Linked DNA regions of Alligator mississippiensis. The protein of the gene in region 2 purifies or fractionates together with the protein of the main gene of each other region. This does not show direct contact. Links are inferred from orthologs where the notes say so. Each region holds a gene or a part of one and is shown on either strand. Other genes may lie near its edges. The genes, in order: KIF3C and KIFAP3.

Region 1 (11,575 bases), on a different chromosome or scaffold from region 2:
GCATGTGCGTGTGGCAGAGAGGACACATCCGTGTGGGACGACACGTGGGCACATATCATAGAAAATTAGGGTTGGAAGGGACCTCAGGGGGTCAAACATGTGTGCCAGCTAGTGTGCGAGCGCGCACATCTGTGTGCGTGACAGAGAAAACACAGCTAGATGTGTGTGACAGAGAGCATGTGTGTGAACACACATCTACATGACAGAACAGGGTGTTTATGTGTGACAGAGCATGCATGTGACAGAAAGCAGGGCCGTGTGCGACACTACACACGTGCATTTGTGTGTGACCGAGCATGCGTGTGAGACAGAGCGTGTGCATGTGTGACCGAGAGACAAAGGAAAAGAGCACATCTGTGTGTGTGCATGTGTGCGTGTGTGTGTGTGTGGGCGGGCGAGACAGCGGCCCCGTGTGTGTCTGGCTGTGCTCACACCCACATGTGTGCGCCTGGCTCCCTCTGGAACACAACAGCCGCCTTTATGCCGGAGCCCCGCCTCCCCGGCGGCCGCGGGCGAGCTGCTTGCTAATCGTTATTATGCTCGTTAAATGAGTGAGGGAATGTGCCGGACACAGGGCCTCATTCATGCCCGCGCTGCATTCCCGGCCCCTTCCCCCGCGCCCCCTCCCCACTGCCCGCGGGGCTCGGCCGCTGGGCAGTGCCACCCGGCCTGGCACGAGCGCCCGGCAGCCTCGACGGGTCAGCGGGACACAGCTGGCCGGAGCAAGCTGCTCTCACGTGGAGGCCGGAGGCCATGACCAGCGCTCAGGGAGCTGGCCGAGGCCTGGCTCTGGGCTCCCAGACCTGCGCGCTGCGACTGCTGCTATGTGCCGGGCCGAGGCAGTCGCCGGCACAGGTGCGAGCACCGTGCAAAACAGAGACTCCCCACCCCGGGTCCGGGTAAACATCTGCAGAGCCCTTCGCGGCCCCTGTAGCCATGTGCCCAGCCTGCCGCTGCCCTCCTTCAAATGCTGCTCTGCCACGAAGCCTAAGGACGTGGCCGTGGCCTGGATGCCGGCCAGTTCTGTGCGTACAGCACCCAGCGCGCCCGGCAAGGGTTTGGACCTATAACAGCCCGGGCAGGTAGGACGCTCTGCGGGTGAGGGCAGAGAGCCGGGATGCCCAGGCCCCGGCCCCGCTGCTGGGTTACTCAGCAGTGACAGGACACGCGGTGGCCCTGGGCCAGCCACGCCGCATCTCGCCAGGGAGGGGACGTCACAGACAGAGCCTGCGCTTCGCCCCCACAAACCTCAGCCCTGTGAAAGTCTAGAGGGATATGGGGTCTCGCTCCCGGCCCCAAGACCTCGCTCTCTCCAGTGCAGTATCTGCGGTTCCTGTAGGGCCTATAGAAACGTCCCCCCTGCCAGCAGCAGCTCAGGGCAGGGCTGGCACCATCAGAGGCCGTGACTGCAGGCGGGGGAGCAGCAGCAGAGCCGGGGCAGAGCAAGAGCAAGACCTGGAAGGGGCAAGACCAGAGAGGCAGCCCTCCCCCCCGCAGACAGGCAGGGACGAGGCACTGAACCGAGGGAGACGAAGGACGGAGCCAGGAGGGTCTAGGCCAAGTGTGCAGAGGATGCCGAACCCCGGTGCACGCATTCATTTGCATATGTACTGGCATGCAGATGTGTGCAATTGTGTGCATGCACACCACTGCCCGGTGCTGGCTCCAGAGCCCGCCGTGGGAAAGGGGACCTGAATTGCTGCCCTCCCACGAGGGGGTGAATTCGCCAGGGCAGTAACTAGCACGGGAAGGGTGGAGGCAGCCAGACGCCCACTCCCCCATCCCTGCGATATCACAGCAGGGTGCCCTGCGAGTGCTGGGGGCTGCCCGTCGGGTCCTGGCGGAGCGGGAGGAGCAGGCATCGGTCACTGCGGGGCGGCCCCGCCGGCCTCTGGGTGCTGCGTGGAGCAGCAGTCAGCCCTGCATCCGCGGCGAGGCGGCGAGGCATCTCTGCACCAGGCCACGCCGCAGCCAGGAGCCTCCAGGGCTGCGTCCTGCCCTGACCACCCGCCCCTCCCCACGGCCAGAGAGCGCCCATCCCCTGCACTCCTGGCCCGCAGCAGGCGGTCGGTCTCCTGTGGCGTGCAAGGGGTTAAAGCGCCAGGAGGGCCCCTCCTGCACCCCCAGCTCCCCCCCTCCTCCAGGATCACAAACGCCGGCACCCCCACACCCCGCCAGCGACACGGGAGACGCACCACGGGACTTGGCCAGCACCCCGCTTCCTGGCTCTCGGGGAGCACCGAGCCACCCCTGCCAGCCCCAGAGCCCCTGTTCCCGCGAGGCGGGGCGTGGGGAGGCTCACGGTGCCCAGGCCGCCGACCTGGGCACCCGCTCCAGCAAGAAAACGGGGGAAAGGAGCTGCCACTGAGCGGAGGTGGGTGGGCGCCGGATGCCTGGGTTCCTTCCCAGCGTGACCTTGGGCGGCCCCCTCCTCCCCGCGCGTCGGACTGTGTCTCCGTGCAGGTGACAGCACTGCCGGGGAGTCTCCATCCCTCCCCATGCGGTACCCGCTGTTTTGGAGCTTGAGCCACACCCCAGAGCCAGCCGCGGGCCGCACTCGAGCAGAGCATCCCCGGCCTCGGCCCCCTGACTGAGCGGCTGCCGGCAAAACAAGCCCGTCGGGGCGTGAGCAGGGGGTCCCTGGGGTCCCCCAGGCTGCGCAGGGGTGCCCTGGGGAGGCCGATGCCCGCGGTGCTCAGCCAGCGTCTTGCCCTGTCTATCTAAAGCCCGCTAGCGATGCTGGAGACAAAAGGAAGTCGGGGGGTTCCCCCCCCTCGCCGCTCCCTTCCCCCCCCCCCGCCAGGTCTGCTGGCCAATGCATATTCAGCAGGTCGCGCCCGCACAAGGGATGCGAATCTGCAGCATCATCCTAGCAACCTCTGCCAGCCGCTGGGTCACGTGGACGGGACTCCGCTGAGGCCCAGCTCGTGCCACTGGTGAGGGCTTGGCCCGTAGCCGAGCACCCCAGGTAGCCTGGGGCCACCCTAGGGCCAGGACGTCGCCACGGGGCTCTCCCACCGGGGACGTGGGTGACCACGCCGGGGCCCCACCCCGTGCCGAAGCCGTGGCCGGCGCTTACCTTGTACTTGGTGGCCAGCAGCTCGGTGGCCTCCTGCTCCTTCCGCAGGTCCTCGATCATCTTCTCCTTCTCCTCCAGGAGCTTCTGCTTGTCCTCGCTCACCAGGCTGTGGTCGTCCTGGATGGCCGCCTTCTCCTCCTCCAGCCGCTCCTTCTGCTCCCGCAAGTAGTTCTCCATGTTCTTCTCCAGCCCGTCCTCGTGGTCCTCCTCGGCCTCGTGCTCCGGGGCGCCCTCCCCGTCCAGCGCCTTCTTCCGCCGGCTGCTCCTCCTCCGCCGCTTGCTCAGCATGCCGCGCTTCTCCAGCTGGGCCTTGAGCCGCACGATCTCCTCCTGAAACTCCCGCAGCAGCGTGTCCTTGGGGTCCTCGTTCACCCGCGGCTTGTTCTTGATGTTCTTGGCCCGGTTGGCGAAGCGGAGGGTGGACAGGCTCTCGTCGTAGCTGTGCGAGGCCGGCCCGAGGGTGGCCACCATGATGGTCTTGGCGTTGCCCCCCAGGGAGTCCTGCAGGAGCCGGGTCAGCTTGGAGTCCCGGTAGGGGATGTGCGTGCTCTTGCCGTCCACCAAGGCGGAGATGACGTTGCCCAGCGCCGAGAGGGAGAGGTTGATCTTGGAGGCTTCCTTCGGCCGCTCTCCCGGCGCCCCGGTCTTGCTCTGGCGCTCGCTGCCCGCCAGGTCCACCAGGTTGAGCTTGCCCACGCGGATGTGGTCCTCGCCGTCCAGCCCGGTCTCGCTGCACTCGACCGTGATCATGAAGATGGCGTGGGAGCGGGAGCTGTGCTCGTTCATGTTGGTGGTGCCCACCGCCCGGGTCTGGTTGCCCAGGTTCATGACGTGCTCGATCTCCTTGACGTTCTTGGTCACGAAGGACGAGAGGTCCTTGATGTAGACGCCCGTCTCCGGGTTCTCCTTCAGCTCCAGCTTCTTGTTCTGGTCCTTGGCCAGCAGGTCCCGGATCTCCTCCTGGTAGATCTCCAGGTAGGAGGCCCTCACCAAGTACTGCTGGTTCTGGGACCGCGAGATGTGGGTGAAGATGTGCTCGAAGGAGTTGGGGATGACCCCGCGCTTCTCGGGGTCGGCCCACGCGCCTTGCATGGTGTAGGTCTTGCCGGTGCCCGTCTGGCCGTAGGCGAAGAGGGTCCCGTTGAAGCCCTGCAGCACCGAGTCAATGAGGGGCCGCACGGTCTCGTCGTACAGGTCTGCCTGCTTGGAGCTGGCGTCGTACACCGCATCGAAGGTGAAGGTCTTGGGCAGCTCCCCCAGCGAGGCCCGGGGGTTGCGCAGCGTCACCTGGCCCAGCCGCACGTCCATCTCCAGGATCCGCTCGTGCCCGGCGGCTTCCTCCTTGCGGCTCATCGGGCGGCACCGGGCCACCACCTTCAGCGCCTCGCTGAGCTTGGGCTTGGGGGCCAGCATGGTCCCGCCTGCCCCGCGCCGCCGGGCTGCGCTGCTCACCCCCGAGCCGGAGCCGGAGCCGGAGCCGGCATGGAGCGGAGGGGCTGCGGCTCTGTCCCTTGGCGACGCTGCCTCTGCCTCTGCCTCTGCCGCTGCTGTGGCTGCTCCGTGCCCTGGAGCCGCCTCCTTTCCTCCCGCACAATGGATGCAGTCAGGCAGAAGCTGCGGGCAGCATCCCCTCCGGCACCGCTCCGCTGCACCCCAGGGTGGGGGCTGGCGCGCCGGCTATAGAGCAGGGGAGAAAAGCAGATAAATGGTGGGGGGGGGGAGAGAGAGAGAGAGAAACCCCCCAAGCTGAGGGCAGCGTCGCCTCGGTGGGCTTCAGTTCCCCGCGGCGGAGGCCGGCCGCAGGGTCCCTGGCACTGCGGGCAGCCGGGGGCTCAGCACCCCCCGGGGGCTCCAGGGCCAGGGCTGGCAGCGCCTGGCCTGCCCCTCCGGATCCTCATTCATTGCAGTGCGGCAGCTGCTGTGCATGCGTGTGTGTGCGAGAATGAGGGAGGAAAACAGAGGGCGCTGGGCGGGCCTGTGCGATGCTGCCTGGGCGGATGCTGGGGGGGGCCGGCGGATGCAGCAGGGAGGGGAAAGCAACATCCCCCCCCCAACATGCTGCTTGTCTGCCAGCCCCAGCCCCCTCCCTGCCCCGCAGCCCAGCACGCTGGGAGCTGTAGTCCTGCCTTTGTTGCCAGCCCTGGGGAGAGGCCAGCGGCCCCTGGGTCCTCTCCCCAGGGCCGGGGGCCTGCGGGCAGGTGCTGCGGCTCTTGCACGTGGGAGGGCCGCCTCCCCACCCCTGCTGCACCACGGCTGCAGTGGGGATTTCGGCTCCGTGCACCGCGCCTGGGATGCTGACAGCCCAGGCAGCGCTTGGGATAGGGCGTGAGGGTGGGAGTGATGCCAAGGGTCCGTGCATCGGCTGGCAGAGGTGTGGGGGTCATCTCCAGCTGCCCGGCTGGGGGCAGGGGGTCACCTGGCCCAGGGTCCTGTGTGCTGACTGCCCTCCAGACCCACATGGGGCGGAGGGGGTCCTGGCACCCGGGGGCCTCCCTGATGCACCCAGCACGGACCCGGCCCTGCACGGGACAGAGGGGAGCGGCGACCTGCTGCAGGGGTCCCTGCTCATGGGGAGATGAGCCCAAGGGAGGCTGCGCCGAGCATCCATCCATATGGAGAGGCCAAGCTCAGGCCTGGAGAAACGTGTGGGGGAAGGCTGGGGGGACTGGAGCTGCGGGGTCAGGCACAGCTGATCCGGGGAGGTTATTCTTCACCTGGTCCCTACACCCCGCCAGGGTGGCTTCATCACAGCCACGTGCACGTGCACAGGTGTGTGCAAGTGTGTGCATGCACACCACTGCCCGCCGTGCAGAGGACGCCACCATCTTAGCAATGAGACATCCGCCCTCGACGGCTTGGCTGCTGCCTGCCCCCCAGCCGCGCCGCGGCCCAGGATGGAGCAGTGCAGCCTGGTGCTCCCTGCAGCCCCCGGGGTGAATCCGGAGCAGCTCAGGTGTCAGTAGAGGTGGACCTGTGACGTCTGCCCCTGCCCCTGCTCCCAGGCACAGCCCGCCCGAAAGCTTGGTCCTCAGGGACCATCCTACCCAGCGCCGCCGGCAACGTCTCGGCAGCACAGGTCTGGTCAGACCGTCTTGGGCACGGCAGGATTCGAATCCAGGGCCTTTGGGGGCCAGTGCACCGTTGCACCCTGTAAGCACCTCGGGGTGACCTGAGCACCCCTCTTCTGCCTCAGGAGCAGACAGGGGGGCATTTGGGGCAAGGTCATTCTGCAGATATCAGCAGTTTTCTATCTATGTATAGTCACCAGATGGAGCTTTGCCCCATCCTGGTGGGCAACCTCCACCTCGGGGCTCAGGGTGGAAGCAGGAGAGGGGAGGACAGGCAAGTTCACGCTTCAGACCTGCTGAGCTCGCATGCAATAAAAGGTAACAGCTTACTACTGCTGGCCGGGCGGTGGTAACCCCCTTAGCTCCAGCTGCAGAGGTCTGTGCTGGGGAGCTGGAAGTCCTTCATTTAAATCATGGGGGGGCACGGATAGAGAGAGGTCATTAGAGCCGAAATCATTAGGATTCCTGGAGAGGGAGGTGGGCCCGAGAGGGTGCCCCCGTCGCCTGCCCGCTACCAGCCCAGGAGGAGATCACCAGGATTGAATGGGGCCTTGCTGGACTGGACCGTTGGTCCAGACTGGGAGCGAACCGGGCGTGCCAGCCTGGTCGCCAGGTGCAGAACGTGACCTGAAACTGGAATGAGCTCAAAGAGGAGCCACGGCGCCGGCGAAGGGGAGCGAGGCCTTTCCTTATGAAAGGAGATTAGTGGAGCTTCTGGTTTAGAAGTGGAAACTGGGAGCGCTCTTGACCCGTTCCTTTCTGGGGTGAACATGGGGGAAGGGGAAGAGCTTTTTAGGCTGAAAACCAACGCTGGCATGAGGTCGTGGCTACAAACTGACTCTGGATCCATCTAGATTTGATAGCTAGAAATCTTCTTTCCACGGAGGGCAGTTCTGGAGTGGTCTTGTCTTGGAGAGAGTCCAGTGGAGGGCAGTGAAAATGGTTGTGGGCTGGGGGACAGGACTGGTGAGGAGAGGCTGAGGAAGTGGCCTGATTGAGTCTGCAGAAGGGAAGACCGAGGGGGATTGAATAGCAGCCTTCACCTCCCTGCAGGGGGGCTGCAAACAGGATGGAGCTGGGCTGCTCTCAGTGGGGGCAGATACAGGACAAGGAGCAATGGGATCAAGCTGCAGCAAGGGAAGTTGAGGTTGGATATTAGGAAAAACTTTCTCACAAGGAGGGTGGTGAAGCGCTGGGATGGGTTACCCAGAGAGGTGGTGGGATCTCCATCCTTGAAGGTGTTGAAGACCCAGGTAGACAAAGCCTTGGCTGGGATGATGCAGCTGGGGCTGGTCCTGCTTGGAGCAGAGGCTGGCCTAGATGTGACCTCCTGAGGTCCTTTCAAACCTCATTTTCTATAATTCAGGGAAAAACGGTGGGAGCGCAGAGCATCCCTTAGCCTGACCCGGGTACGTTTGTGGAAGGGCTGGTCTCACAGGACAGAGGCGTCTGGCATGCCAATCGGTGCGTGTTACGTGGGTCGTGTGCGGTTCCTGGGTGAGGTACAAAGATGGCTCTTGTCATGGGGAAGGTGTCTGGCAAGCCCATGCATCAGGGCTTTTGCTGGTTGCCATTAGGGGCCAGGAAGGAAGTTGCCTCCCTTCCTGGATGCTGCTGGCTTCTGGGGGATTTCTCCCCGTCCCTCTGAAGCAGCGGGATGTTGGCCGTGGCTAAGGCTGTGGGGTTGTGCCTGGGCTGCAGGATGCTCCTGCTGGTACTAGACAACTCAGCGGTTCCTGGCTGGGGGTGGGGGTCTTGCTTCTCTGCTTGAGGTCACACTGAACTTGGGGGTAGGGGCCGGTCCCTTGGATCAGCTCCCCCCCCGGACATGGGCAGCACCCCAACACCCGCGCCTGTCCCTGCGACTGGCTGCGGGGTGCTCTCGGTGCCTGCAGCCACGGGCGGGTGTGCAAAGGGGGTTAACAGTGCCTGCAAACACAGGGGTCTGGCTCAGCCTCTGCCCTCGTCCCTCCCTGCCCCACGCAGATGGGATGGGGGGTCTGGGGCAGTCGCACGTGTCCGCACGGCTCGGAATAATCTCCACCGCTTTGCAGGGGACCCACCGTGACGGGCTTCGTGGGCGATTAAACCTCTTGCAGTTAATCGAGTCGCAGCAGCCGCCCGCTCCCTAGAACAGGAGATTAACCCTTAATGAATTAATTAGGGTGTTTATTCAGCTGCCTTAATCTGAGCTGCGCAGCGTGGGCATGGAGCCCCTTCCCACCCCTTGGCGGGGGGCTGAGGCTCGGTTCAGCCCTCCGTGGGGAAGGGGACCTGGCTGGGCTCTTCTGCCTCCACGACTCTCTCGGCATGTCCCGAGCTGACGGGCACGGGCTGGGGGAGGCATCGCGGTGCTTTCCTCGCTGCCACGGGCCTGGCGCTGCAGTGAACGATGCGTGATGGTGTGGGGGAGCAGGGCCCTGGTCCGGGGCTGCAGGCTGGGCTGGGGCAGGGGTGTCCCGGCTAAGTCACGCTCCCAGCGCCCACGTCGCCGACCTGCTGACGGATCGGCCTGGCTCGTGTGCTGGAGACGTCCAGAGCATGGCACCGTCCGTGCCCAGAGACACCGGCTTCCCTTCTCCCCCCACGGGCTTGGGATCACTAGCCCCATTATGCCCCTCCACTCAGGATCAGACTGCTGCTGCGTTGGGGTAAGGACGGGACTTTTCCTTCTTCCCTTTTGCTCAGATGGGCACGGGCTGTGCGGGGTGGGGTTTGCTTTCCCCTATAGCTGGGGCACAGGCTCTGCCTGGGGTCTCTTGAGCACACATTAACCCCCTCTGCAGCAGCAGGACGTTGGCGGCTGCAGCCCCGTTTTCCTGGGGGCAGGGATGGGGGCGATGCCTGGGGCTGTGTGCGGGTGACGGTGTCGTGTGGCTCAGAGGTTGCGCGTGGGGTTTGTCCGGGCTGGTTTGCACGGGGCTGATCCTGCCTCAGGCAGGGGCTGGGCTGGATGTGACCCCGCAGCTCCCCGCCAGTGGCTGCGCACCCTCCGCGGCCCAGGGCACGAGAGGCCCGCCGGCGGCTACGACCGCTCTCCTGACACAGGACTGCACCCCTGCCCCTCGGGCCCTAGCGGAGACGTGCCCTGGGGAGCACGCTGGCAGAGCTGTCCTGGACGTAATTAGAGGCCTTCACACTGCTCATCCCAGCATCTCATCCCACCCCATCCAGAGCAGTGGGGGCAGGCAGGACACGGACTGGATTCCTGCTCTGGGCGCTTGTTGCCTCAGTTTTGCCCACCTGCAAAATGGGCGTTGCATTTGCCTGCCGCATAGGGGCACCGGGAAGGGGAAGGGGCAGCTGGGACGCCAGGGGAGCAGTGTGTTGTTGTAGGATCCCGGGCGAACACCGGGAGCAAAGACAGGCAGAGAGGCTGGCTGGCCTGGGAACGGGGCTGGCTTGCCGGGCTCCAAACCAGGCTGCTGCTAGCGGATGCACATTGCCTCCTCGCGCGCAGGCTAGCGCTAGCAGGACAACGGGGCTACGGACAGTGCATCCCCTGCCCTATGCACGGGAAAGGAAAGCGGGCTCTGAGCCGCCAGATGGGGCTCAGGACAGGATCAGGCCCTTCCACCCTGGGTGCTGCACAAACACTGGATGCACAGACACCCGCGTCCCAAAGGGCTGAGGGCCCAAGCACCCTCCTGGATGTGTGCCCCCCTGGCTGGCCCTGGACCCCGACCCTCTCTTGCAACCCGTCCTCATTGCAGAGCTGGTGCAGGATCAGCCTTGCTCGGGTGTGAGTGTCCACACTGCAACCCCCTCCTGGAGCCCTGCCTGCCACCCCCTCGAGGCACCAAGCCATCCGGGGACACGTCGCCAGCCTGGAGGGGGTACCCCACGGTGAGCTGAAGGCAACTCCCCTTTGCTCAGGTGGAGGTGGGGGCAGGACAGGAGGTGTGGCGGTGGGGGTTTCTGGGTGTGCGGCGCTGCACGTTGTGCTCCCAAAGCAGCCCGGTGCCTGCAGAAGGCGGCCGCTGCCTGGCGCAGGAGATGGCACCGTCAGGGGCAGCAGGGACAGCTCACACGCGCTGTGCTGACGCGTGGCTCTGGGGCTGGGCCCCTGCCTGGGGTGCACTTTGGACCCCCTGCCCCATCACTGGTCTTGGGGTGGTGCCGAGGAGCCGGGGGCTGGGTTTGCACGTGGAATGAAGGCTGTGTTTCCCCAAGGCACCGGCCCCGAGGCGGGATCTGGGGAGCAGAGGGGCGTGAGACTCCTGTGCGGATGCGATGCCCGGCCCGGCCGCGGCTGGCCTTGCCTCTCGCTCCCGGAGCCGGGCTGGCAGACGGGGCTCGGGGCCCAGGAGATGCTGGCTCTTGCCAGCAGAGGCCAGTGCAACCCAAGGCAGCGCCAGCGCATGCCAGAGCCAGGCAGGGAGACTTGCCCTCGTCCTGCAGCCTGGGCTCGCCCGTCCCAGGGGAGCATTACTCTCCGTGGTGGCTTGGCGTGGCGCAGACTCCAGAGGACTGGGCTGGGCACTGTGAGCTGGGGGAGCTGAAAGCCTCGAGGACCCCTCCTGCCCTGTGCCGTTTCCCCCTCCGCTGCCCCGGGGGCTCATGCAGTGGGGGAGGATGCTGGCAGTTTGGTCCGGAGGGATCCCAGCACGAGATCTCTGCAGCCAGGTGCTCTGCCATGGCCATGCGGCGAAGGACGACGTGAGCAGCGGTGCTGGGGCTATGCACCCGTGGGCACCGGTGATGGTTGAACCACGCCATCACCAGCTGCCAGGGAGGAGGGGGTGCTTGCAAGAGGCTTCAGCTGGAGCTTGGGGGTCTTGTCGATGGGCCTGGGGCAGGGGCAGCATCTCAGTACCGCCCTGCACCGCTGCCCCGAAGACCTGGGTGCCGGCAGGATGCAGGGCCCTGCAGCGGACGATGAATCTGGACTTGTTTAGCAGGAGCTGGACCTCGCCGTGCCGCCAGCCTGAGCGGCTCCCGCTCGCTGCGAGGGGGCCTGTGGCCTGCAGAAAGGTCTCTTCCCCTTCCTCTTCCCGAGGGGCTGAGCATGAAGTCTGGGGCTTCCCGGTTCACTGAGATGGAGTTTGCTGTGTCTGTCACGTAGAAGGCAGGGTGGATTTGCACCTTATAGACTAACCAAAGCAGATAGGCTGTATAGCTAGAGAGAGGGAGCTCACGAAATCTAGCTAGCTAGTGATCTCGAGACCTTTTCAGGGGTGCTGCAGGGGCCCGCACAACGTACGCCCTGCTAGGCTTGGAAATGCGATTCACCGGACAAAACTGGCGATTTCCAATAGAAATCCAGAGTTGTGGTCTCCTGGAGTCCTCTGCAACAGAAGAATCGCTCTGCTGGCTTTCTGCAGGCCAACGCGAAGAGCTGGCACTTTCTGAGGGAGGCCTCGAGCCTATTCAGGGGTGCAGTGAGTCTAAAAAAGGTTGAGCACCACTGGTCCCTGCCTCCCTGGTT
Region 2 (11,744 bases):
CCGCCCCAGCATCTCAGCACTCAAGCCACCTGGTACCTTGAGGTATGTAGAAAAAACTTTTAAAGCTGTGTCTATGTCCAAATCATCAAACTTCTCCTAATCTTTCTGAATTGATTTGGAGGGTTCCAATTCGATTTGGAGAGATTAAGGGGTCTTCTGATTTGATTAGGATTCAGGCCGAATCTCCGCCAAATTGAATCAGCCTACCAAAGCTTCGCACAGCCCTAAGCAACGTGTAGCAAGAGATTACAGTTGTACTTGGATCCTATGCCTAGCCTGGGGACTAAAAAAAGGCTAGGTACTTACACAAACAAAACTCATCAACTACAGAAACAGCTTGTGCTAAGATTTTCAAACCCCCTTAAGGCTGGTTACCCTGTTCCTCATAATCTTCAGGCCTCTAAAAACCTGGAAATTGACAGGACCTAGTCATTCAGGGCTGATTTAGGTGACAACATTGACCATCCCTAATCAGTTTCACCTATCATTCAACTAAACAGACTACAATTACTTCACAGAGTAGATATTAGAGCCAAAGAATTTCTAGAAGCATACGTCAATTATCACTTAACCAATATGCAGATAATTAATATTTGTTATATGTAAGCACACTTAAATTAGGACTGGGATTGTGTTATACAATCAAGAAAATAATACACTGATAAGTGGAGTACAGCATACTTCAGAAAAGCACTGGATTTGATATTACAACAGGCTAAACGCACCTGGCTCCTGTTGCACGCTGTGAGAACTGAGGGTGCTCAGCACTTTACAGTTTTAGGGCTAATATGTAAGGGAGTTTGGGAGAGGAAGAGCAATTTATGGAACCTGATGGACTATTTTGCTCAAGAGTCCGTGTTGGGAGGATGGGAAAATTTGTAGAAAGGCCTAGACCAACTTTCTACAACTCTGACATAGAACATTAAACAATTTTCCATGCCCTACCTATATATACATGCAATGGCATCTTATGGCTTTGTTTCCATTCTTATATTTATTCACATTTCATACCAAATCAGTCAAGACTGTTCACCTGAAACTGAGCAGTACTGAAAGCCACTAACAACAGAGAGAGCTGCAAGTGCTAGCAAATCTGAATTTAGCCTTTGATTCTTGCTTCTAAGACATGTATTATCAGTAGCATAACTAAGGATAGGCACATAGGGCATCAGCCCAATGCCAATTGAGAGGGGGCATCAAAATGGTGGCAGTCGCCACTATGGTAACAACAGCCTGTACCATAGCAGAACCCCATGCGTCTTAAGACTTTCCAACACTCAGTATCCTGCCTCTGGCACTCAGCGTTCCTCTCCTCCCCCCCCCCCCCCCGCCCCCCAATTCTCTGCCATTTAAGCAGTGTAAACATTCCAATTGATGCCCATGTCTACTTTAATTATTTTCTTTTGGTCCATTTATTATAAAGGGTGATTCACTCTTTTCTGGGCAGACGATCACAGAATCATAAAAATAAGGGTTAGAAGTGACCTCACATCATCTAGTCCAACCACCTGCTCAAAGCAGGACCATCCCCAACTATATCATCCCAGCCAAGGCTTTGCTTAGCTGGGTCTTAAACTTCCAAGGATGGAGATTCTACAACCTCTCTGGGTAACTTGCTCCAGACAGTTTTTCCTAATATCTAAACTAAACTTCCCTTGCTGCAACTGGAGAACATTGCTTCTTGTTCTGTCATCTGCCACCACTGAGAACAGTCTAGCTTCATCCTCTTTGGAACCACCATTCAGATAGCTGAAGGCTGCTTTTAAATCACCTCTCGGTCTTCTCTTCTCCCGACTAAATAAATCCAGTTCCCTCCGCCTCTCCTCATAAGTCATGTCCCCCAGCCCCCAACCATTTTTGTTGCCCTCTACTGGACTCTCTCCAATTTGTCTGTCTACACCCATTCTATAGTAGTGGCCCCAAAACTAGACACAGCATTCCATATGTGGCCTCACCAGCACTGAACAGAGGGGAAGAATCACTTCCCTTGATCTACTGGCAACGCTTCTACTAATGCAGCACAGTATGCCATTAGCCTTCTTCGCAACAAGCTGAATGTAAGCCAACAGCGTGCCCTTATTGTCCACTGTAATGCCCAGGTCCTTTTCTGCAAAGCTGCTGTTTAGCCAGTTGGTCCCCAGCCAGTGCATGGGACTGTTCCATCCTAAGTGTAGGAATTTTCACTTCTCCTTATTGAACCTCATGAGATTTCTTATGTTCCAATCCTCCAGTTTGTCAAGATCTCTCTGAAACCTAGCCCTACTCTCAAGGGCATCTACTACATCCCCAGCTTGGTGTCATTTGCAAACTTGCTGAAGGTATCCTCCATCCCATCTTCCAGGTCAGTCACTGATGAAAACACTGAACAAAACTGGCCCCAGGAGCAACCCCTGGGGCACTCCACTTGATATTGGCTGCCAGCTAGACATCGAGCCATTGATTACTATCCTCTGAGCCAGACAATACAGCCAGTTTTCTTTCCACCTTACAGTCCATCCATCCAACCCATATTTCCTTAGCTTGCTAGCGAGAACGTTATGGGAGACCATATCAAAAGCCTTGCTAAAGTCAAAGTATATCATGTCTACCGCTCTTTTCTCACATCCACAGAGCCAGTCATCTCATCATAGAAGGCAATCAGGTTGGTCAGGCATGACTTCCCTTGCTGAATCCATGCTGCCTGTCGTTCTCCTCCTCTAAGTGCTTAGAATGATTCTTTGAGGGTCTGCTCCATGATTTTTCCAGAGGCTGAGGTGAGGCTGACTGGTCTGTAGTTTCCTGGATCCTCCTTCTTCCCTTTCTTAAAGACAGGCATTAGATCTGCCCTCTTCCAATCATCCAGGACCTCTCCCAATTGTCACAAGTTTTCAAAGATAATAGCCAGCTGATCTGTAATCACATTAGCCAACTCCCTCAGCACCCTTGGGTACATTGCGTCCGGCCCAAATTATTTCTACAGGCCCAGCTTTTCTAAATAGTCCCTAACCTGTTCTTTTGCCACAGCTGGCTGCTCACCTCCTCCCCAAACTGTAGTCTGGGAGCTGATCTTGCCTTTAAAGACCAAGGTAAAAAAGGCATTGAGTACTTCAGCCTTTTCCCCATCATGTGTCACTAGGTTGCCTCCTCCATTCAGTAAGGGACCCACACTTTCCCTGATCTTCATCTTGCTGCTGAAGTTCTCCCAAGGCTATCCAGCTTCCCCAGGACTGAGTGACACACTTGCAGGAAAATTGGAACAGTACGCATAGCCCCTCACTGTAGTAACCACAACCCAACTGGTCATAAACAAAAACTGACCAGCAATGTAAAGGAGGGGCCTTCTCTGCAGGGATGGCAACAGCTGTATGTTACCAGGGTTCTGAATTCATAGTTTTGTCATCAACCCACATCAGGTGACTTACTTATTCTCTTCTGTGCCTCTATGTCCCCATTCTATAAGTGGGGCAAATAAAACTTAGCTGCGTCCCAAGTGGGGTTGGAGGACACTGAGAACCTCCAACAGAAGAAGCTATAGAACCACAAAATAACGCTGCATGAAAAAGATTGCGAGCCGCAGATCAGTTCACAGCAGGCCTAGATCTATACCATGACCATCTCCTTTCCTAACGGATGAACCCTGCCTAGCGAGGGATAAAGCCCACACCAAACAGAGGAAAATTTTATTCTCTCTAATCTAAGACTTATTAAGCATTTGTGTCAAGTCTCAGCAACCTTTCTGATCCTTCTGCAGTCTGATGATGTTCTTTTCCAAGTTGTCTCTCCCATCAGTCTCCTTTAAGACGGTTTTGACCATTGTCAGCATGGTGTATGGGCAATCCAGCAAGGTTGCCAGCCCTAAAGCTTTCAGATATTTCTTTTCATAGAGCAGTGTTTCCCAACCAGTGCACCGTGGCACAAAAGTGTACCATCAGAAACGAACAGACATTCTGCGGAACTTTGTCATGGCAATGAGCTACAATAGGTATGAGGATGGGGAATGCCTTAATAGGTAAATGCCATGGAAAGTGTTTATTAATGTAAGCGTGGCTTGGGCTGGAAAAGGTTCGGAAACACTGTCATAGAGCAAGTAGGAGTACTCTTGGTAGTTCTTCTGTAGAGCAACTTCTTCCACCACTAGGAATTCTTTGGGGCAGATAGGATAGTCTGCACCTGGCTCTGCAATGTGTTTTTGTGTGGAGTCTCCACAAGGTGGAGGGGTTCATCCAAAGGGAACAGTTCCCAGAATCAAGACCCTAAAGAGAGATAATTAAAAGATACCAGTTCTGTCACTGTCTTCCATTTATCTCAGGATTAATCTCATGGGAGAAACTACCCAGCACTACTTCTCTTTGACATCCTATGCTGAGTCAACACCTGTTCTTCAGGGACAGGATAGGAAGTATTTACAAATGTACAGAAGGAGAAATCTGCCAGTGTGAGTTGCTCTGCACAGAGATCTAGCACTTCCTCAAAGATTTTTCCCTTCTCAGGAATGTGTGCTATGCATCCCATGAGCCCTGCCCCCAAACAGGATAGAGTGGGCAAGCTTGACTGGAGGCATTATTGCTGTGGAGATGCTATATTTTCTTCCTTATCCCCCTCCCATGGACTGATGTAATGGGTCACAAAACCTGCTCTAGTTATTGGACTGTTACAGGCTCTAATGGCTGGGACAACCATTTTCTTCCCTCGCCCATGCATAGTGCCAATGCTATCCCAGCTAGGAGGGCAAGGTCCTGTTTAAAGAATTTGCTCTTTCACCAGTTCACATCTCAGCTCCTGCCTCGAAAAACTTTTTTCTTTTTAAAGCGACTCAAAATTGACAGCTGTACAGGGCTACAGATGCACTCAGCATTATCACCGTCCACTACAACAATATCTTATTTGGGCCTCCAGTGCCACAAAGGAAATTATTAACTGAAGCAAAGGGAAATACACCCAGGAAAGAATTCCTCTTGCAGATTAAGTTTCGCAGCCAGCCGCCCACTTTAAAAATCATCCAGATGTGGATCGCTGCTCAGGCCTGCAGGACAAACGCCATGCTGGGTGGTCAGCACACGCCCACATCGCTCTGTGCTTTGTTCACCTGCTTTGTTATGGAAGTGACATGAATCTCGCTCCCGTGCAACCTTTCTCTTCTGAACCTCCCTGCCGGGACAGAAGAGCTCTGGCGCACACCAAACTCAGGGACTGGCGCACATTGAATTAAATCCATTAGTGGAGGGAGGTGGGGGGGCTGTATTCACTGAATCAGCACAAAGCACACACGGGCAAGAACGCCATCCTCTACAACAGCAACAACCTGCGTCACCAGCTGAATCATGGGGGAGCCGGGGATGCGCTGGGCATCCCCTGCGCCCGCCCCCACTCACCTGTCTGGGACTAAGGACACAAGGGGCTGCCAGAGGGGATGCAAGAGCGCGGGGTGGGGAGTGGAAGAGAGGAGCGGGATACCTGCCCCCCGGCCTCCACCCTCCCACACACGTAGAAAAATACCCCCAGCCCCCACCCCAAATCCTTATACATGGGGGGCAAGGGAAGCCCGTGAAAGCGCAGGGCAGGACCCGGCCTGGATGCGAGGGGAGTCAGCCCTGCCGCGACCCCCACCCACCCCATCCCCGCCGCGTCACCTCTTGAGGTATCGGGCGTCCTCCCCCTGCATGGTGCGGCCGGCCGGCCGGCGGGGCGGAGGCCCGGGCGAGCAGCAGGGCGCTGTCCGCGCCGGCGGTTACCAGGGTGAGGCAGCGCCGGCTCCGCCCACACGCCGCGACCGGCAATGCGCAAGCGCCGCGCGTGCGCAGAGAGGCCCGCTCGGGACCGATTTGGCGAGGCAGTCGCACGAGATTGGGCACGGAGGGAGGTGCCACGCAGCGCCCCCTGGAGGCGCGGCGGGGGAAGCTCCCGGGCCTGCGATGACCCGCTAGGCTGGAAGGGAATCGCCAAGCTCGGGCTTTCAGGGGCGGAGTCAGCCCTCGGCAGGGCTGTGGCCTCCGCTGTAGTGCAGGGCTGCTGTTGGTAGCCTCATGGGCTGGGTCCGGACAGTGTCTGCCCACCCTCAGGGTCTCCCACCCATGCAGCTCCAAGCACACCTTTGTGGTACCCCAGGAGCAGCTAGAGGGGAGGTCTGAGGCTTGCAGGGGTGCCTTGTTCAAGTTACAGCAAGGGAGGTTTAAGTTGGATATTAGGAAAACTTCTCTCACCAGGAGGGTGGTGAAGCACTGGAACAGGTTACCCAGAGAGGTGGTGCAATCTCCAGCCTTGGAGGTTTTTAAGGCCTGCCTAGACAGGCAGGGATGATTTAGTTGAGGATGGTCCTGCTTTGAGCAGGGGGTTGGATTAGATCAGTGATTCTCAACCTTTTTTGTACCAGGACCCATTTGTAAACATTGATGGCCAGTCCTGACGCAGTGCCCCTCACTCTAGACCCGCTGCCCTCTACCCCCAGGTCCCAGCCCCCAAGTGTGTGGGGCAGGAGGAGGCCCGAGGAGCCCCTCGCAGGCTGGAACGCCGACAGCTTGCAAGGGAAAAGTGATGATTTCCCACGTTTCTCTCCTTTAAAGGAGAATCCATTTTTTAAGTTTGTTGATCCATTTTTAAAGTTTGTTCGCAACCCTTTCATATATTTTTGGGAACTACTTTTGGGTCGCAACCCACAGAATGAAATACATTGGACTATATGACCTCTGGAGGTCCCTTCAAACCCTCATTTTCTATGATTCTAACTGGCATGAAGGGTTCACTCACAGTGCTTAGAGTTGCAGTAAGTACCCTGCACGAGGCAAGTTAAGGCTCCTGACATGCCCACAGTGCACTGGTTTCAGTGTATATAGGACAGGTGACCCTAAACCGACCCCCAGGTCACACAAGGTTCTGTGGTTAGATGTGATATCTGTTGTTAGACTAACTAAGTAGCTGGAAAAATTGTTCTTTGCAAGCTTTTGGGTACAAACAGCCTTTGTCAGGCATAGGGCGAGTCTGCTGGTGTTGTGTGCGCTCTCCTGGGTAGAATAGAAGCACAATATGCACAATGCAGGTCTGTGCAAATGCAAATAAGTAGCAGTGAGGATCTGAGGGAATGGGAGACAATAGGTGTGAGGCAGGGGGGAGACTCTCCCTATGCCTGATGAAGGGTGTTTGTACCCAAAAGCTTGCCAATTTTCCCAACTATTTAGTTGGTCTAATAAAAGATACCACATCTATCCAAAGAACCTTGTTGCCTATGTCCTTACCAACACTGACTACAACCAAGAACCTTAGCACCAGGTCTGCACCACAGCTGCGGCCAATGTAACTTGAGCCCAGTAGCTCCAGCCTCTAGCATTCCCAAATCATGAGTCAGGCACCAAAAATCACGAGATCTTTTAAAAACAACAAAAAAACCCAACAACAACAAGAAGTGCTGAGCTCTTATTTGCCATCTGGTCTTGAGCCTTTTGGTTACAGTCAGGTCATACTCTCAACCTCCTCACCACAATTCTGAATGCTAGGAATTTTTCTTTTCCATGAAAGCTGAGCTTTTCACACCATCACTTGTTTCCAGGAGCAGGGGTTTGAAGTAAAACACCAAATATTGTGAGACCTGTGGTAAAATTGCCAGAGGTTGGCAACACTGTGAACCCTGTTCAAAACTGCTGAGAAAATATCCCAATTGCAGACAGGTCCCAGACACAAGGGTGCCAGGACAAACACCTACTCTTGCCTTAAGTGCTGTGGTGTCTTCCAGACCCTCACACATCCCTTTGCAGATCCAGGTTTTGTACCCACAGAGCAATATGCAGGAACTCTTATTTTTCTGCCTGGGATGAATGCAGGACTAGAGGGATTTAACCAGGTTGTTTCAGTGAAGTATAGGTATAAAGCTGATATTTTGGGCACTTTTTTAGCTCTACACATAGCTTCACTAAAAAGCTTCTAGGTTGAAATAAAAAAACTTGAAGGAAAGCATTTCAGCCCTCATTTGCATTTTTGGACAACGTGAAAGAAAAGTTTGTGTGTAGTAGCAGTTTGCTAAAGTTTCCTTTGAGAGTTGGTGTGAGTTCTAAGGGATATTTCAGGATCTTTGCTCCTTTCCATTCAGGTAACTAAACTTTCACAACTTTTTCACATGTCTCTCAGTATTTGGTATTTTTCTGAAAACCAACATTTGTAATGTGATTTTGTGATACTTGTTTTTCCTTAGGTTCATCTGAAGGTGTGAGAAGCAGGTTTCATTAAAAAAAAAAAAAGTATATTTCTGACTTCATGGCTCCACAGAGAAAGATTGAAAATGTGACTCTAAAACAGAAAACACCGAGGATCTGATGACATATCATTTAAAAAATAATCCCAGGAATTTTAGGCCTGTTGCATGATTGTAGGGGCCTGGCTTATGATCCTTGAATATTTATAGTTTCCAGTAAAAACTTCAAATATGTCATGTTCTAAGCAACAACACATACATGTGTAAACATAGGCCCCAAATCCTACAAAATGCATACACATGAGCAACTGTAGTTTGTGGCAATAGTGTTTCATTGTCTCCTCTACCAACAGGGAAGCTGTGGCAGAGATAGGTGAAGTGATTTGACTGTGGTCACCACCTGTGACAAAGTTTAAGAATAGCTGGCTTCCAGTCCTCAGCTCATTCCCCCCACCCCCAGTTCCCAATCAAAAGAAACATGAACCTTCTCCAAAAGGCAATCATACTGTAATAGGCATGCACATCATGCTTTTCCCACATGTTTATAATTTTGCAGTTTCTCACTCTGCCTCTTTCAAATGAGGCAAATCATGCAATCCAGTCTGCTTACACCCATGCTATTAGTTGTAATCATAGGAACCCAAGCCATAGGTTAGATCCTTATGATGCTAAGCACCATACAAGCATGGAATAAAAAGATGGTTCCTGCCCCAAGGAGCTTACAGTCTATTTAAGCTCTGTTGTCTTGATCTCTCAAAGATGTAAACATGTGAGCAACTTTATCCAAACACATGCAGAACGTAGAAGAAGTTCCAAATGGATAATTTGGCAAACATTTGTCATTTCAAGTCTTGTCCTTTTAGGCTCTGCTTTGACTTTGCCCATATCGCATGGGGAAAGAATGCCAAGGGTCAATTTACAGTGCCAATAGTTAGAAGATACATTTGTTTGTGAGAGTGCCAATATAACTCCAGAAACCCAATGAAACCTTTTTAGCAGCAATTTGTGGTTCAGCAGCCAATTTTAATCCATTTGCTTTGTCAACAAGTACATTTGGACTATTGAACTACTCCCAACAAGTCTTATACACTAGACAACAGTTGACAGGGCCACAGTTGCTGCTGTAAGGGCAGTTTGGCATTCTACAGCAGGGCTGGTTTAAAGAAGGTAATTTTTGTCCTCACTTACCCTCCCCAACTCCTTTTGTCACCACACAGTATTGTATTATGATCACAGTTTCACACCCCAGACTTTAACATCAGGGTAAGGATTTTTTGTAAGGATATTTCAGTGTTGAGTCCCAGCTATGTACTCTTATGAGTCAGTTCACAGATGTGGCATCATGGGAAAGAAGGGAAGATTTGCACCTTACAGACTAATTTTGTCCTTTTTCAGGAGGTGTTTGAGGTCATTAATGATGTATTTAAGGTGTTCGATCTGGGGGCTGTAGGTGACAACTAGAGAGACTTTGTTGTTGTTGTCCCGGGGTTGGTATTATAGGAGGTTAGCATGATATCCAAGTGTGCTTTTATTGATCCGAGTGCCTACAGTTCTGGAATTGTATTGGAATTGTAGGAATCCCTGCTCCTGGTCTTTAAAGCATGCATCCCAGCCAGTGGGATCAGCATGGATATGATTGTAACATATGGATTGGCCGTAGACAGTGAATCTAGTGGTGTGGTTAAGATGAAAGTTGGTGGTATGAAGGTAGCTGTGGTGGTCAGTTGGTTTCCAACACAATGTGGCCATTGCAAACATTCACTGTAGTGTCTAGGAAATGAATTTGCTGGGTGGAATATTCTAGAGTTAGTCCAATGAAGCGAGTTCCAAAAAAAGATTTAATTAGTCTACAAGGTGCAAACTTCCCCTGCTTTCCACTTGACTTTAAACTAACTTAGCCAACTATGGACACCTATATACATGCTTGCGAGGGGTGTGTGGGGGTGCATTTTAATTAGAGCGGCTCTCAAGGGCTGCTTTAATTAAAAATTCCTACAGTGTCTTGTGTATTCAGCACCCCATATTTCAAGGTGGCACCAGCAGGACTTGTTCAATGAGCTTTAGTTAAAATTGCCCCTACCGCCATTTTGAGGTGCAGGGATGCTGAATACACAAGATGCTGCCGCACACTGGAATGTTCCCATTAGAAGTCTTAATGCAACACATTGGAGCATGCGTGAAGTGCTCCATGTCTCATGAAAAAGACCAGAGAGGCCAATCAAACTATGACTTCAGCTCATCCATGTCTTCAGCCAGATTCTGCAAGTGTGACAAACTGTTTGCCATGCAATTGAATTGTTTTTCATCTTGAGGGAATGGAAATCAAGACTTATTCTATATTTCCTGCTTTCATCCAGATGCTGGCTAACCAGAATACAGTTAAAAAGGCTGGGCTTTCAAGAATGCTCTGGATGAAGTGAAAAACACTGATTTTATAGATAGTTTTAAGGAGTATTTCTCTCAGCTTCAATCCCTTGTTACTCTGTATAGCATATAAGTTTTACTACAAGTTGTAACCTAATCCTCCTCTTCCCACAAGTCCATTTTACCATTTTCTTACTAATAAAATTGCTACCATGTCTTGTATCTATGCTTTTGCTCCACATCATGTTTCCTCTCCAAATGTAAACCCTTAAGGCACTGTAGTGTTGTGGAGTTGGTTGGTAACTCTCTCAATGGCTTGAGATCTTTCTAGTGGGTCTTGTCTGTTATTACCCAAACCACCAGAACCAAGAAGGACAGAAGACTATATACTAGAGTACACACCAGCGTACTTTCCTTTGTGGGAACCCAGCAGTGCTTGTGTAGTTTTCTTTTCTTGTCTTAAGAAATGTAGTCTATGTCTATATGTAACAGGACCAGGCCCCAGGGGAGCTGCAACACCCCAACAGCTATACGATTCCTGCCCAACTTGATCTCTGAGATACCTTCCCTTTATTCTTCACTTGCCACAGCTTGTTCTCATTAAGAAATTGAAAAGGGAGACTGCCCATGGGCTTAAAGCAAGCCCTAATCAGTTCCTACCTTTCTCTGTCTCCGACTCTTCCCATCAGAGCAAGCTCTCCATTAAGTGGGGTTCCTGGCCATTTCAAGGCACCTGTTGCCTTATGGGCTCCATACCTTCCCCACAGCTCTGCACATGCCTCACAGATGTCAAACATGCTTATTGTAAATTAGCTTTTCTACTTTGGAGAACAGATAGCACCAGCTGAGTCTCCCCATGCTGGACAAATGGAGTTTGTGTCCAAAAGCTTGCAAATAATTTCCCCCGGCCCCCAGATATTCGTTTGGTTTAATAAGAGGTATCACATCTACCCAAATAACTTTGTCTGCCACATCTAGTGAGATGCTCATCCCCAAGGCCACCAGGCCACCTCAAGCATTACTCTTTTGTTTGGGGCTCCATGCCATTCTGGGCTTCAGGCCCTGCCCCTCACTGGGCTCTTTCTGCCCTTCTTGGGCCACACCAAAATTCCCTGGCCCCATCTGCCTTAAACATGATCCCTGGCAGGGATCAAGGTGGTCATATGCCCCTCAGGCACTAACAGACCTCCAAACCACCAGTGTAAACTCTACACCAAGATAA

What was found.
Region 1: the proteins of KIFAP3 (region 2) and KIF3C purify together in Homo sapiens (co-immunoprecipitation; 3 studies listed by BioGRID and IntAct, counting the BioPlex papers as one, with this or other methods). This does not show direct contact. The link is inferred for Alligator mississippiensis from reciprocal best matches to the Homo sapiens genes KIFAP3 and KIF3C.

The regions. Positions count from the first base shown.
Region 1 is NC_081824.1:1,326,920-1,338,494, forward strand, and holds the start of KIF3C (kinesin-like protein KIF3C), read right to left. Parts: upstream 5,065-11,575; 5' UTR 4,493-5,064; coding exon 3,080-4,492; intron 1-3,079.
Region 2 is NC_081828.1:45,975,757-45,987,500, reverse strand, and holds the start of KIFAP3 (kinesin-associated protein 3), read right to left. Parts: upstream 5,740-11,744; 5' UTR 5,642-5,739; coding exon 5,610-5,641; intron 1-5,609. UniProt on the Homo sapiens protein: Involved in tethering the chromosomes to the spindle pole and in chromosome movement. Binds to the tail domain of the KIF3A/KIF3B heterodimer to form a heterotrimeric KIF3 complex and may regulate the membrane binding of this complex.